Linked DNA regions of Drosophila melanogaster. The protein of the gene in region 1 purifies or fractionates together with the protein of each later gene. This does not show direct contact. Each region holds a gene or a part of one and is shown in the gene's direction. Other genes may lie near its edges.

Region 1 (9,038 bases):
CCTCGTGCAAACGCTGATTGGCGCTGCGCCATTTGTACTCGAACGTCTTGATGAAGCTGATTAGTTTCTTGTGCAGCGGAACTATGATCCTGCCGCGTGGATTCTGCGCCAGTGACTGGACGCGTCCGAAGGCCTCCATATTGGCGGGAGTCACCAGCACCTCCACCTTGCTGGGCAGCCGGATATCCTCCAGTGAGTCTACGGTTTGTCATTGGGTATTATTGGGCAAACATATCGAATGGAAGCGGACTCACCATCCAATTGATTTAGCCGCCGGAGCGCCTTGCACGATGGCGTCTTAATGCGAATGTTCTTGCCCTTGCAACGCACGGTTATTTGGCCCTGGTAGACCAGCTGCTTCAGCTTCATGAAGTGCTTCTCCGTGAGGAACTGCAGCTTGCGCCGCATCTCGCCGTAGTTGATCAGCGTGTACAACTCCTGGGCGGGCTTTTTCAGTTCTAAAACGATTGATTAAAGTTACAAAATTGTCCAGCAATTGCGAAATGAAATGAAGGCCAATGGCAAAATGGCAACGCTAGTTGAATTCTAGGAATTAACCGAGGCACGAGGTTTTTGGCGCCGAAAATCTATTTTTCCGGGAAACCGAAACAAGCTAACTGTGACCTTATTAACGCATTATTTTGCCAATAGCTTGTTAATTTAACATTTCGGGACATGTCATATCCAGTTTGACCCTTCTTCTTACCCTCCGAGAAGCGCACATATTTGCAAATCTTGTGATGGGTCTGGTAATAGTGCTGGCGAACTTGGTCCTTGGTTTTGAAACTATAGTCGCTGTTGGCATTGCGGCGCTTCAGCTTGGCATTGATGCAGTTGGCCACCGCCTCGAAGTCCTTGCCGAATTCGTTGAGGGCGTCGAAGAAGCAGTTGCGCTCCACATTCGTCCAGGTGGTCTTCCCGCTGCCCGTCTTCAGCTGGCTGGGCGTCTTTTGGGCGGCCTTCTCCTCCTTTTTGTTCGGCTCCCGTTCGCTGGGCGGCGGTGTCATCGGGCGCGTCTGGTCCTGCTTCATCTTCTGTATGACCCGGGCACTGGCCCGCGTTCCCGGACAATTGTGCATGGTCACCGAGCCGAGGAGCTCCTCCTCGGGCAGCTTAGCTATCGAGTTAACAACTACTGCTCCTCCTCCCTTGCCATTTGGCAGCGGCTCCTCAATGGACACGGATGACGACGGCGGCGGCGGCTGCGTCAGCGGGGGTGGCGGCGGCTGCTTGGACAGTTCCTCCATGTTGGCCAATCCACATCCGCTTGCCTCCTAGACAGGATCAATCAATGGCAATATCAATTAAACTGCGTAGTCTTCCGGGAAAAGTGGGAAAATGGCGCCGAACCGTCCGATTGCTTGGTATTGTCGCTGAACCGCGCGCCCGGGCTAATCCACTACCGACCAGAAATGATCTCGAAGGCTTTCCCAAGCTCCGACGTGCACTCACCTACAAATCAGACATGGAAAATCGGTGCCAAACGACTATATAAAAAACTTATTAACGAGACGCCAGGGATGTTGATGTTGGCCAACAGTGTGGTATCAACAGTGCAGTGTGTGCTGTTAGGCGCGAAGTGGTTGCTGTTAAGTTGTTTTGTTTACCCGCAGCGATGCCCGCTCGGTTGTTTTACAGCCGCCAATGGCTAGTTCTAGCCGCAGCTTTCGTTTCCTGGCTGCTTTCCAGCTAAATGCGTACCCTTTGAACTAACCGTTATCTTATTTACATATTAAATTTAATAAAAATATACAAAATCCACACGAAACAAACAAACTAATGATTTAAAGGGACTCAGAATAGAGCACGCTCTCAATAGCATAAGCTTTTATTGATTTCCTTTACCTGTTGATTAATTGCAAAAATTCTTCTTGAGGTTTTAAAGTTTATTTTCTTACGTATAAATTTTAAAAATAGGCCAAAAAAATAAAGTTTCTCGCGTGCATCACAAATAAATACCAACAAGGAGTAATACTAGCAACACGGCTGCGAGTATCACGATGAGCATTATCTTTTTCTGCAAATACAAGGGAAAATGCCTTTTAGAACCCAACGCTCTCGGGGATTCGCAGTGTGCCCACCTTGCGCGCCTTCTTCTGGTGCTGCTCCGCCTGGTCCAGCTCGTCGGCGCCCTTGTCCACGTGGAGCGTGGCCTGCTGGGCGTGAAACTCCACCCGCTGGATCACCTCGCTCTGCTCCATTACCAGGGTCTGGATGCGCATGAACAGGGCGTGCACCTCCTCGATGGACTTCTCCAGGCGGCGCAGCTCGTTGAATCGATCCATCATTTCGCGCAGTGTCTGCCGCTCCTTTTCCGTTTCCTGCAGAAACTAAAAATACAAAAATTGTTATTATAAAGATTAAGCAAATGTCTACATTTATTTACTATTTGCAATACAAATACCTTTTGATCTTTACATTTTGTGTTAAATTGAAGGTTAATTAACAGAGAATGTTAGAAAGGGCGGGTGAAGATCTTATTTTATTGATTTACCGTTGGTCCTTGATCGTTTTCTCTTCAAGTCTTCCTCTTCCCTTTTTCTCAGCCACATCCAAATACGCACGTGATTTTTAATTGTGCGTCGCGAAATGAGGTTTGTTGTATTTAACATGGTTTAGATGTAAATGTAAGTATCGGCATTGTGATACGAAGCATTTGCGCGCTTTTTCTTTCTAAGTTCGCGGTAATTTGGCGTTTTCAATGGCGCGCGAAATATGTTTGTGTGTATAGAATGTGCGCGCTAAAATCCGCATTTACATATGTATGTATGAACATACACAATGTGTGTGTTGCGCTAAATAAGCTTCCACTTTTTTTTTATGGTGAACCACTGAGTTTCTATTATATATATAAATATGTATAGCTTAGCTATACGGCTAATGTAATTAATCTATGTACGTGATAATCTGTATTGCAGAACATAATGCTTTATTTAACATCCTCATTAACTAATAGATGATGTTAAAACAACAGCGGCAAACAGAGAGAGTGCATATGAGTTTGATTTACCGTTGGCCCTTGATCATTCCCTGTTTAAATCTTCCTCATTCCTTCTTCTTCCCGAGCATCGACATACGCACGTGTTTTTTAACTGCGCGCCGCGAAATAAAGTTTATTGAATTCAACGATCTTTAGATGGTGAAAAGTGTTACTTGAGTAAATGCGAGTATGCGCATTGTGATGCGAAGCATTTGCGCGTTTTTCTTCCTAAATTCGCTGTAATTTTGCGTTTTCAATGGCGCGCGAAATATGTTTGTATGTATAGAATGTGTGTGCTAACATCTATTTACACATGTATGTAATGTAATGTGTGTGTTGCGGTAAATTAGCTTCCACTTCTTTTTTTATATTTTTTGATGGTGAACCACTGAGTTTGAAAATATATTCTATTCAATATAAAAATGTATAGCCTAACCACTCAACCAATATAATTAATCAACGTATGTGATAATCTGTATTGCAGAACATAATGCCTTATTTAACAGCCTCATTAACTAATAGATGATGTTAATACAACAGCGGGAAACAGAGAGAGTATGTATGAGTTTGATTTACCGTTGGCCCTTGATCATTCCCTGTTTAAACTTCCTCTTTCCTTCTTCTTCGTGAGCATCGACATACGCACGTGTTTTTTAACTGCGCACCGCGAAATTAAGTTTATTGAATTTACCGTTGTTTAGTGCTGTTACTCGAGTAAATGCGAGTATAGGCATTGTGATACGAAGCATTTTTTTTCCTAAATTCGCGGTAATTTTGCGTTTGAGCAAAATAATTTCATACATATGTATGTATGTATGAAGGTGTGTGGGTGTTACACCAAATGAGCTTCAGTGTTTTTTTTTTCATTTTTTTTATGGTGTTCCAGTGTTGAAAAAGTTGCGAAAGTGATTATATCCTATTAGCTATTAAAATCCCAAATTTTTTTTTTTTCTGTGTAAAGCTTTACTTAAAGTGATATGAAAATGATCGTCTCGCAAATTATAGATGCGATAAAGTCAAATGAAATGAAAAATGAATACAACATCGAGGTGAGTTGCGCTCTACTGAGTAATATTTAGTAGCTAATAGTCCTAGATTGTATAAAATGTCATTTAAACTACATACTAAATGCCGAACATATTAAAATATATATGTTTATGAAACCTTTGATAAGGAATCATATCAGACAGAAGACTTAGTTGTTTGTATAATTCTTTCTTTACTCACATTATCCACAAAGAGTTTGGTTGTCTTGTTCTCGATGAGTAACTCGATTTCTTGTTCGCTGGCTTCAGAATTAACTAAAAAGTAGATTGTAACGAAGTTCTTAAACAAAATAATGTAATAGTTGCAAAGCATTTAATCAGACTCGTCCATTTTGTATCACACTTACTGATTTTTGTATGCAGTCTCAGATTCTTTTTGACCTTGGTCTCGTAGTTCTGCAGGAATAGTTCGTTTTTGTGCCACAGATTGATGAAAGTCTGGTGGAGTCCATAGAAAAGGGTTCTTTTCATCCTTGCCTCCAAGCTGTAATCGTTTTCCGCCGGCAGATTCGCCTTGAAGTCGTTGAATCGCGTCATTAGCTGATTGCCCAGCCTCAGGTTTTTGTTGTGAAGCTCATCCATCTCGTTCTCTGTGCGAATTGGATTTAGACCGTGATGCAGTGGAAGTATTCACAACTTTAGATTCAAATTCTTACCGTTGAAAGTTCGCAGATTGACAGTTTGGGCCATGCGGTTCATCGTCTCCAAGTTGGCGGCTATCTGTGCGAGTTGTTGGCGAATCTCCGTGTACTGAAAAGGAAGGATACCGTAAAAATCTATTAAAATCGTATATTCACTTCCATTGCATTTCCAGTACATTTCCTTGCTCAGGAGGAAGCAGTGCTTGTATTGCTTTTTTGCTTTGCAAGAGTTGTCTACCGTTGTTTACGTTTACATGGCGACTACTTGCCTTCTCTTCGTCCGCTCTCTTAACCACAATAAAAAACGTATTTAATGAGAAAATGTTTTTTTTTTTTTCTGGACTTATCACGAGTTTTCGCGCTACGCCGGCAGCGATTGAGTAATACAGCTGATTCATAAGTGCACACATGTGTGGGTAAGCCATAAAAAAGAAAAAAAGGGTTTCCCTCTCTCCGGCTCTCTGATCTTTTATTTCCATTGAGGGGAAACGTTTAACTATGCTAGATATTAGCTGCTTTCTGTTGTATGTTCTTGCTTCGCTAAGTATTTATAACTTTCAAGATAGCTATCTTAGGAGTTAAAGTTTCTTCTATTAACTATTTCAATACTCAATAATAGTAAAAACTTGTATGAATTCTGAAGTTGTGTTTTGTATACACTTCGATCCTTAAACTCACCGGATTGAGTATGTCATCCACATTCGAGCCATACTGCGTCATCTTTGAACTGGACCGATCCTTGGGTTCGGTGCTGCTGTTATTGTTGCTGCAGCTGTGAGAGTTTTGGCTAACGACACTGTAGCTATTATTGTTACCGCCGGTGTTGCCAATGATGAACTCCGTGGTTCCACTGTACACGTTCAAAAGCAGTGAACCGTTCGACGACGAGTTCGACGAGTTCGTGCTCAATGAGCGCTGGAATTAGTACAGCAAAAATGAGAAGAAAAAAAAATAAATAAATAAAAATAAAATAGGTCCATGCGATCCTAACGAACTGCAGGGAAAAACTGAGAAAAAACTAAATTGAAACTAACAACTTTGGTTGAGTTTATTTACGTTTGTGTGTTCACAATCTGGCGCGGTGTAAATGAACTATAAAAATGACTTCGGTACTGAAATTCACTTGGTGCTAAAAGTTTGTCGGCGGAAACGCGGGGTTGCCCCGTAAGTGTGATGTGTGGCCACATTATCGTCGTTATCTCTGGCCGATCTGATAAATGCCATAGCGAACACCCACCAAACCCCCTTGGCTCACAAGTCGAAATAGTGCCAAAAGCGCCAACAGAAATGTGAGAGATTGGGCCAATTGTAAAGAAGGTGGCAGCACCTTGGTCAGAATGTGTTTCAACGTGCCGCAAAAAAAAAAAAAACTTTGATTAGGATTACTTTTTACCGAGAAAAGTGGAATCCTTTTCCTGGCAAATACCACCAAATGTATTTCATCGTGTTAAGTAGATTTTATTCGTATTGCGGTTTGAGTGATGCCAAACCACTGTGCTTCAAACTAATTAGCAGTTACCTCATCCCAACCTCCCAACCAACCACCCACGTTTCTAATATTTTCTTACCTGCAAAAGCTCGGGCAGTCGATCTTTACCCATTTCTGCAACTTGGACTGCCTTTGGTTTGAATTATGCCAATTATATGCCAAATTTATGCCAATTCCTTGAATTCCTTTCCAGTACTCCAAAATGTCCACTTTATATCCTTTACAGCAGCTTCTGAGCTTTGTTCCTGGTTTGTTGTTGCCGTTGCCTCCAACAGCTGTTCGCGAATGGGAAAATTTGATTGAGAGCGCAGGAGAGAGCGAAACCTGCTATCAAAGCTTATCAGCGCACAAGTTTCTGATAAGAGCCGCCTAATATTTACCGTCTGCCCTTCGGAAAGCGACAGGGCGGGGTGGAAAGTCATGGAGAGAGAGAGAGAGAGAGAGAGGGACAGTCAGAAAGGCCTAAACACAGATTATCACCTATCACATATTTGCCATTTATTGGCGGCTCTTTGCTCTCTTACTCGCTCTTTTGTTGCACACACACACAAACACAAAAAAGAAAAAAATTGGATTATGGGAAAAACTAGCTTTATGTATTTTTAAAATTTAACATGTAAATACATTCGGCTACATTTTATTCGATTTATTGAAAATCAATTCCTTTGTCTTCACCGCGCCGCATACGTTTTCGAACTAAAAAATCGACGCCGGCACAAAAACGCAGAGCCTCCCAGTCGCGTCGAGATTTCTTTCAATTCAAAAAGATTAAAGACAGCAAACACTCTGGCTACAGCCTGGGCCAAAATAATAGGCATTTTATGGTATAAATTCATTGGGCCTAATCCAAATTCAAATTAGTTATGAAAAATTCAAAAATGTACATTAAATGCAGCAATAGAATTGTGATTTGAATATACGAAGGTATTCGATTTCATGAACTTCGGTGTATTTGATATGTACGTTCATGTGCTTTAGCTGGAGAGAGATAAAGATAGAGACTCGTACTACATTATGTGTAGTTAGTGGCGATCTACATTTTTTGTTGTCTCCGAATAAAATGAATAAATCGTCTTTGCCACCGAAATGAAAACTGGTTAGGCGGCGGAGAAAAATGTGTTAATTGTTTTTATTATTATTTCTACTCTGTTGTATGGTAAACATTTCTACATTGCTCTGCCGCCTTTTGCTGTTGTTGTCGCACTTTTCACGCTCCATGTTGCCGTTCAATTGAAATAAAAGACCGAGTAAGAGAAATAAACCTGCGACGAGAACGTTCAAAAGTCACTTGCGCTAATTAGTTGAACTTTTTTCTATTGCTGGCTTTGTACTGTGCCACCATATGCATTTACAGGGTATCAGCGGGTCGCATCTATGTAGGTCAAGGGTGTAAATTCATTGTCAAGCGTTGTACTCACCACTTTTTACAACTTGATCCCTTCAAAACGCTTGTGTAAATTATACTTCTTAAGCACAGTTCAGTTGCTTGTTTCTTCGAAAGTTTCCCATAATAAATTTATTGCTATTTTGCTTACTGGGTAGCTAGATGGTCTACCCGCTTTATATTAGCAATTCTTGCGGTTGCAAAACGAAGCTTATGAACTGCCCTCAACTACGTCAACAACAATAACAAGAAAAATAAAACCATCAACACCAGACAGTTGCGAATTTCCATTTCTCATTTGGTTCGCAATTCTTCTCAAGTTGCCATGCCATTTAAAAAGACGGCAGAAAAGAATCGTGTCGCGAATTCTTCCCTCTCTAATGATTGTATAAAAAGCATACGTATACGTGATATACTGATACTTTGAATTGAACTGCATGTAGCGCCATAAGGTTAAAACATTTAAATCGATTTGGAAATTCAATGTGGAATATGTGAATTCGCGAATACCCTTTAATACACCCTTTAAACATGAACATTTACTTTTTATTGCAAAATACCAATTAATTGAGATTGAGATAAACTGATGTTTCTGAGCTTGAACTTGTTACTTTATTTTTGCTTTATTTTTTTTTTGTTTGGCTTTTAAAATGAGTCATATAAGTCATGTTTTTTTTGTGACCCCGTCGTGGAATTCGAACCGCCAATCGCTTATCAGATACATTCGGAAGGTTTTGTGAGTTCCAATATCATTTTATTAGTCGACGATTTCTTGCCAACTCGTTATTAAGAGGCATTCAATTGCTCGAAAGTCGTGAATCCGCTTTTATTTACAAACGATCGTATAGAACTCTGACTCAATGAAGATATTGTCACTTTTGTGCTGTAAAGTTAAAAAAAAAAACTGCATAACAAAGCAAAACTCAATTTAGGTGGAGTGGCTATACAAAGCAGTTTATTTTTATCAATCCATGGGATTCATTGAGTTTAGGTAATGAGAATACAAAAAGATGAAATTCTTGTTTTTCCCGCCTTTATTTGCATTGCGGACTGTAAGTCTAAAATGTATTCCAGGTTATTATTATCTATTCACTTATTTTTTTAGTGCAAATTGTTGGCAAAACAGCAACATATTCATATTCCCTGCGTTTAACACCCGCTTTTCACCTTTTTCCATTGCTTTTCCATAAACAAAGGGGTCGGAAAAGCGGAGATATTGTTATAGGCAGTCAAGTTTATTGTGCCCGTTTTTTGTTAGTTTTCTCGGCTTTCGCGCTTTCCTTTGTTTACAATTTATTTTGTCATGTGTCGAAAATTGCAAATTTATGAGTTTTTGATGAGTCTTTTTGTGCGTTGTCCCCACCTTAGTTACCACTTCTGTTGTTATTTTTGTTTGTTTTTATTTGGGTCAGAGGCTCACGCACAAAACGAGAAATGGAAACTGATGGAAAGCGCTGGCGGTGCGGTGGAAAAGCGATAGCTTTGGGAAAATCAACTG
Region 2 (4,821 bases), on another chromosome or scaffold:
AGCATGTGCAGACGGTAGCCCCAGCAGCTGCTTCTGCTGCCGCCCAAGTACTTCCCGTCTACAACAAGGCCATGCTTAAGTCTATGCCGCTGCTGGAACAGCTTACAGTGCTACTGAGAGATGCGCGGATGCTCTCGTTCAGCGACGTCATTAGTATTCTCGCGGAGCACGTGGATCCGCATGTGGCTGCCGACAAGGTGCTGGCTTTGCTGCCCCAGGTGGGCATCCTACTGCACGGCAACTGGGTGCCGAAATCCGAGGTGGTCTTTCCCGAGAAGGTGCTTTCCCATGCGAACGGTGTGTCCGCAGAGCAGATGATTCGCGCCAGAGATTATATAGTGAGTTATAGTATGGGTGTAGCGATCACTTATCTTGTACTAATCTCCTCAAATCCATCCGCAGCTCTTTCGTTTCTCCCGCACGCCCTACCTGTTCCGAGCTCAGGTAATGGCCGCCACCCAGTTACCTCCTGCGGAAACACTTGACGTTTTGAAGACTGTGGCCCGGGTGAATAACACAAAACGGTGGGAGCTGCTACTGCCACCCGACAAGGAGTTCGAGCAAAAGTACCCGGAACTGGTCAGCCGACAGGAGTACCACTGGACCGCTTCCGAGCAGCACTACAATGAAATGGACTGGGCTAGGGAAACCAAACGTGTTCGGAAACGTTCGACGAGGAAGAGCGAATCCCAGTCACTGACTTCAGCCATGCCGCCGCCCGCAATGAATCACTCAACAACTGGCTCCGTGGATGCGTAGCATCGGATGATGATCTCCCAGCGGCGGAGAATCGGCAGCACGATTATACATCTAGGCACTATTAAAAAGACCAACAATTTTACTTTGTTAAAGAAGTGCTTTTGTAATCTCTTCTGTAATCTCTCCAGCCAAGGCGTTCCTATTGAATTTGGTCACCTGGTAAATCTTGGATCCTGCTGACTTTCTCAGCTGCTCCACCAAAGCCAATGTTGATTTCTCGGGTATGGTGACCAATAGGGCCCGCTTTTTCTTCAGGAGATCAGCCATGGCCGACTCAAATCGCTTGCTAAGCAGCTCCATTTTGCCCACTTCATCCACGACCAGGAGATCCGGCTCTGGTTGGGAATCCTGTGTGCCAAGTACTGGCAGAGCGAGACTGTCGAAGTCCTGCACAAACACCGAATACTCTCCCACTTTGGGTCGTCGCAGCTGGTCCCCGGGATTCTTGCGAGATAGGATTGCTCGTTTTCCGGCTAACGTGACCACGTCGAAGCCGATTCTTTGGCTGGTGCCCTCACCTCGCATTTCCTCTGTGTAGAATCCTTGAAGAATGCGTCCTCTATCCTGCAGAGCCGAGCATATTTTGTGGACCAGTGTAGTTTTACCCACTCCTGAAAATCATGATTACATACATAATAAACAAATAGCAAATATTTTCCCAGCTAAATTTGCACCTGGTGGCCCAGTTAGTATAATGGTTATATTTTTTTGGTTCTTCATGTCGGCTTATTATTACAATACCAATTTTATAGAATATTTTTGTGGTGAACTAGATCAACCAGGAATGGATCATTGGCAGTTCCAAAATAAATCTTAATTAATGCACACATATTTAGATTTAATGAGTTTTAAATTTATCAAAGAAAGAAAATGCTTATGTATAATAATGAGCATAAACTTAAGATTGTTTATGCCCTTCTTAAATAAGATGAAAACAACAATATATTTTAAAATAAAACGGTCGTCTTAAAATGCCACATTTGATGCGGTATATTTTTTGAATACGATAGCGTATTTTGAGTTGCATGCTCTATGGTCACACTGCGGTGCCCCCCAGCACGTCCACACTGTTTCCAAACGTCGAACGACGAGTGCGTCGTGTTTTTCGTCGCGCGTGAATTGAAAATCCGTAATTCCGAGAATATTCGTAATCCCCCTCCGATCCGCACCAACTGTTGCTCGCGATTCGAAGTGCTGGCTCTGAAGTATAATATACGAAGGTCATTCAATTACAATACGAGTGAAGTTTCAACTCGCAGCAAGCTGCATTTTCAGTTCTTATTGTGAGATTCAAAGTGGTTCTGCCTGTTTCGCTGTTTTATCACCCTCTCCACCACCTTCCCTCATTCGCGCGAGTGCGTGTGCGTGGCGGGGCTATAATGTTTTGGCCACAAAAGCACATCGATTAGGAGTGCAGCCGATCCCCGCTAAGGTTATAAACAAAACATGTCCGAGGCCGATCTGAAGAATCTATCCCAGAACTCGGATGGCGACCAGGAATTGCTGCTGCATCAGACCACGCAGTCCCTGCTGATGGCCAGCTCCATAATGTTTGTGGGAAACCAAGGAGGGCCGGGCGGTTCCGCTGGGGGTGTCGCCCCACCTGGACCCGTTTCCCTGCCCCTGCCCCTCTCCATCAACATGCCCCATCACCATGTGCATGCGATGCCCTACAATGTGGACGAGCTGCTCCGGGAGAACAATGCCCTGCACGCCAAGATCAAGGAGTTGAGTCTGGAACGCGATCGCCTGCTCTGTGAAGTGTCCAATCTGCGACTGGAGCTGGACATGTCGGAGCTCAAGCGACTGCCCGTCGATCTCGATGATAAGTGAGTGCCCACCAATGTTTACTATCTAGTAATATATTCAAATATCTGTTAAATAAGGGTGAATTAATGGCATATCATATTTTCCTATTGGACATCCCGCTTAAATGGAAACTTCCAATAGGAAGAGATGCACTTTAAAATTGCGGTTGCAAAATAATTTTCATGGCATTTGGGGGCCAGAAAAAATTTGCAATGTTCAGCAATTTGATTTCAACATATTTAAAAAGAATTTTGTCGATATTGTTCTAGATGTGTCAACGAGCATTTTACATATTACAAAGAACAATTTCTCACTAAATACTCTGTAAAATGCGGTTGTTTATTTTGTGATCTCATTAAGAGCCAAAATATTCCATTAAGTAATTATAATCAGTCAGGAGATAGTATTCATCTTTAAATTGATTATATTTTGAAACAATATATATTTAAAATCTTTTCTGCTATACTACCTACTTTTAAAGCTCTTCTTTAATGCTTCTTATCAGAGCGGCATTTCGCTTTTAAGTTTCAGGTCAAGGCCTTTGATATATCTGTATATATTGTAGTTTTATTTATACCATAATTTAATCTGCACATAGGCCAGTTTTTTATTTCCCTTTTCTGATTAGAAATTAACATTTTAGCTGATAAGAAAAAGAGCTGGAATACATAATTCATTCAGTGAAGATCCTTACTTTATATTTTGTGGTTGTGTGATCTTAAAACAAAAACTTGAAGCCAAAGTACCATTTCTTCTTCAGCACTCAAACAAAACCACAAAAATCATTGATTTTTTTTTTGGATCGCCATTTTCGGCTGCATTTCCGTGACCCCCAACTCCAATGTTTCCTTGCCCCCGGGTTGAGTCAACTTCTCGTTGAGTCACATTCATTCGTCCCCTTGTCCTTGCCACCTTGGCAGCTGCAGGCTGACAAGTCGGAGTGCGACTTCTGGTTTTTGCAACCCCTTTTTGCACGCCGGTCTACCTGTGGGCTAATCGACACAGTCGTGGTCGCAAAATGAAGTGCACCGTGGCGATAGGTATTTCCGTACATAAAAAACTCATGCTTATCTGTAACAGAACAATAGATAATGTTGTATTTATTTCGTTGCCAAATTGAATGAGTCAGTTGTGCTGTGATAGAACTACAGTTGCTCTCCGCTTATCGATCGACCAGAATTCTCTATTTGTTTAGTTCTGCTGATAACTAATGTGTAGTGCTACTTCGGGCGATAAGAGCCGTCTCAGGGAAATTCAATGTTAAGACCGAGTTTCGATCACTTATTTGGGGTCTTTCCAGGGGAGATTAACCTCACAAATGCATGGGCAAACAAGAAAAGAAATATTATAAACCATTCGCCTGGCATTTTGCCATTGACAGTCGAATAAAGTTGGGAGTATCTTAATATTCGTACCTGACTTTGCTTTGCATGCGGTCATGCCCCACCGCAGACAATCTTTTAAATACAGATATTTTCGTATATATGATGTATACATATACAAAGTGGGCGCAAATAAAGCGCAGTTATCTTTTAACCGTTTTCTTTATTTTCGGGGCTTCTTGGCCTCTAAGGTCTGCTAGTAGTAGAATCGTGGGCTCTTCCAATTATTCGCTTAGCGTTTTCTGTTTATTTTTTATGTCTCGGTTTTTGCAGCTCACCTTCGCCAAAACTTTGAAACACAAAACACCAGAAACTTTTAAACTCGCATTCGTCGAATGTATAGATACTCTTTTAGAATTGTTATTTATTGTCACGTTTTTATATGAATAATCACTTCAGATATCTTATATATAAATTAATCTTTCAGATCAGATTATTTTGAATAATGATAATTTAGTTGATAGAGCATAAATGAAATTGGGAAAAATGCAGGATTTGCTTATCAAACGTTCCCTGCATATAAGGTACATTTCCTCATTTGTACCACCATTTTTTACGTTTTAATTAGCGAATCTAAATGTAATGTAAAAATGCTTACCACGGCTTAGATCCACTTTCAGATTAGAGTTGTACAAGATAAGCTGCACGCACCTAGTTGGCATATCTTTCATTATGGAAAAGAGTATGTCACGATGAGACATTAAACTCAAGATCAGAGATGTTGTTGAAATTGTGCGGGTAGCTTTCTGTCTTATGAGTACGGTTCCGCTGCTCCATGAATGTTGTTGTTTCTCTCTGTACACTGGGAGAACTTACGTGACTCACAATTAAAGCATTTTATTTATTACCATCATTAAAAAATAAACAAAAA

Evidence for each region. Proteins that work in one complex are often made in the same cells at the same time.
Region 2: the proteins of kirre (region 1) and siz purify together in Drosophila melanogaster (affinity purification with western blotting, with the first as the bait; one study listed by BioGRID). This does not show direct contact.

The regions. Positions count from the first base shown.
Region 1 is NC_004354.4:2,737,216-2,746,253, forward strand, and holds the start of kirre (kin of irre), read left to right. Parts: upstream 1-3,589; 5' UTR 3,590-3,789; intron 3,790-3,941; 5' UTR 3,942-4,029; intron 4,030-4,207; coding exon of another isoform or gene 4,208-4,281; intron 4,282-4,373; coding exon of another isoform or gene 4,374-4,616; intron 4,617-4,682; coding exon of another isoform or gene 4,683-4,776; intron 4,777-5,345; coding exon of another isoform or gene 5,346-5,582; intron 5,583-5,701; exon of another isoform or gene 5,702-5,743; intron 5,744-6,235; coding exon of another isoform or gene 6,236-6,268; exon of another isoform or gene 6,269-6,861; intron 6,862-9,038. Other genes in the region: crm (cramped), read right to left, coding at 1-198, 255-458, 707-1,247; Syx4 (syntaxin 4), read right to left, coding at 1,946-2,017, 2,082-2,330, 4,208-4,281, 4,374-4,616, 4,683-4,776, 5,346-5,582, 6,236-6,268.
Region 2 is NT_037436.4:21,032,714-21,037,534, forward strand, and holds the start of siz (schizo), read left to right. Parts: upstream 1-1,821; 5' UTR 1,822-2,205; coding exon 2,206-2,588; intron 2,589-4,821. Other genes in the region: Polr3E (RNA polymerase III subunit E), read left to right, coding at 1-338, 403-759; CG10581 (uncharacterized protein), read right to left, coding at 847-1,370, 1,434-1,479.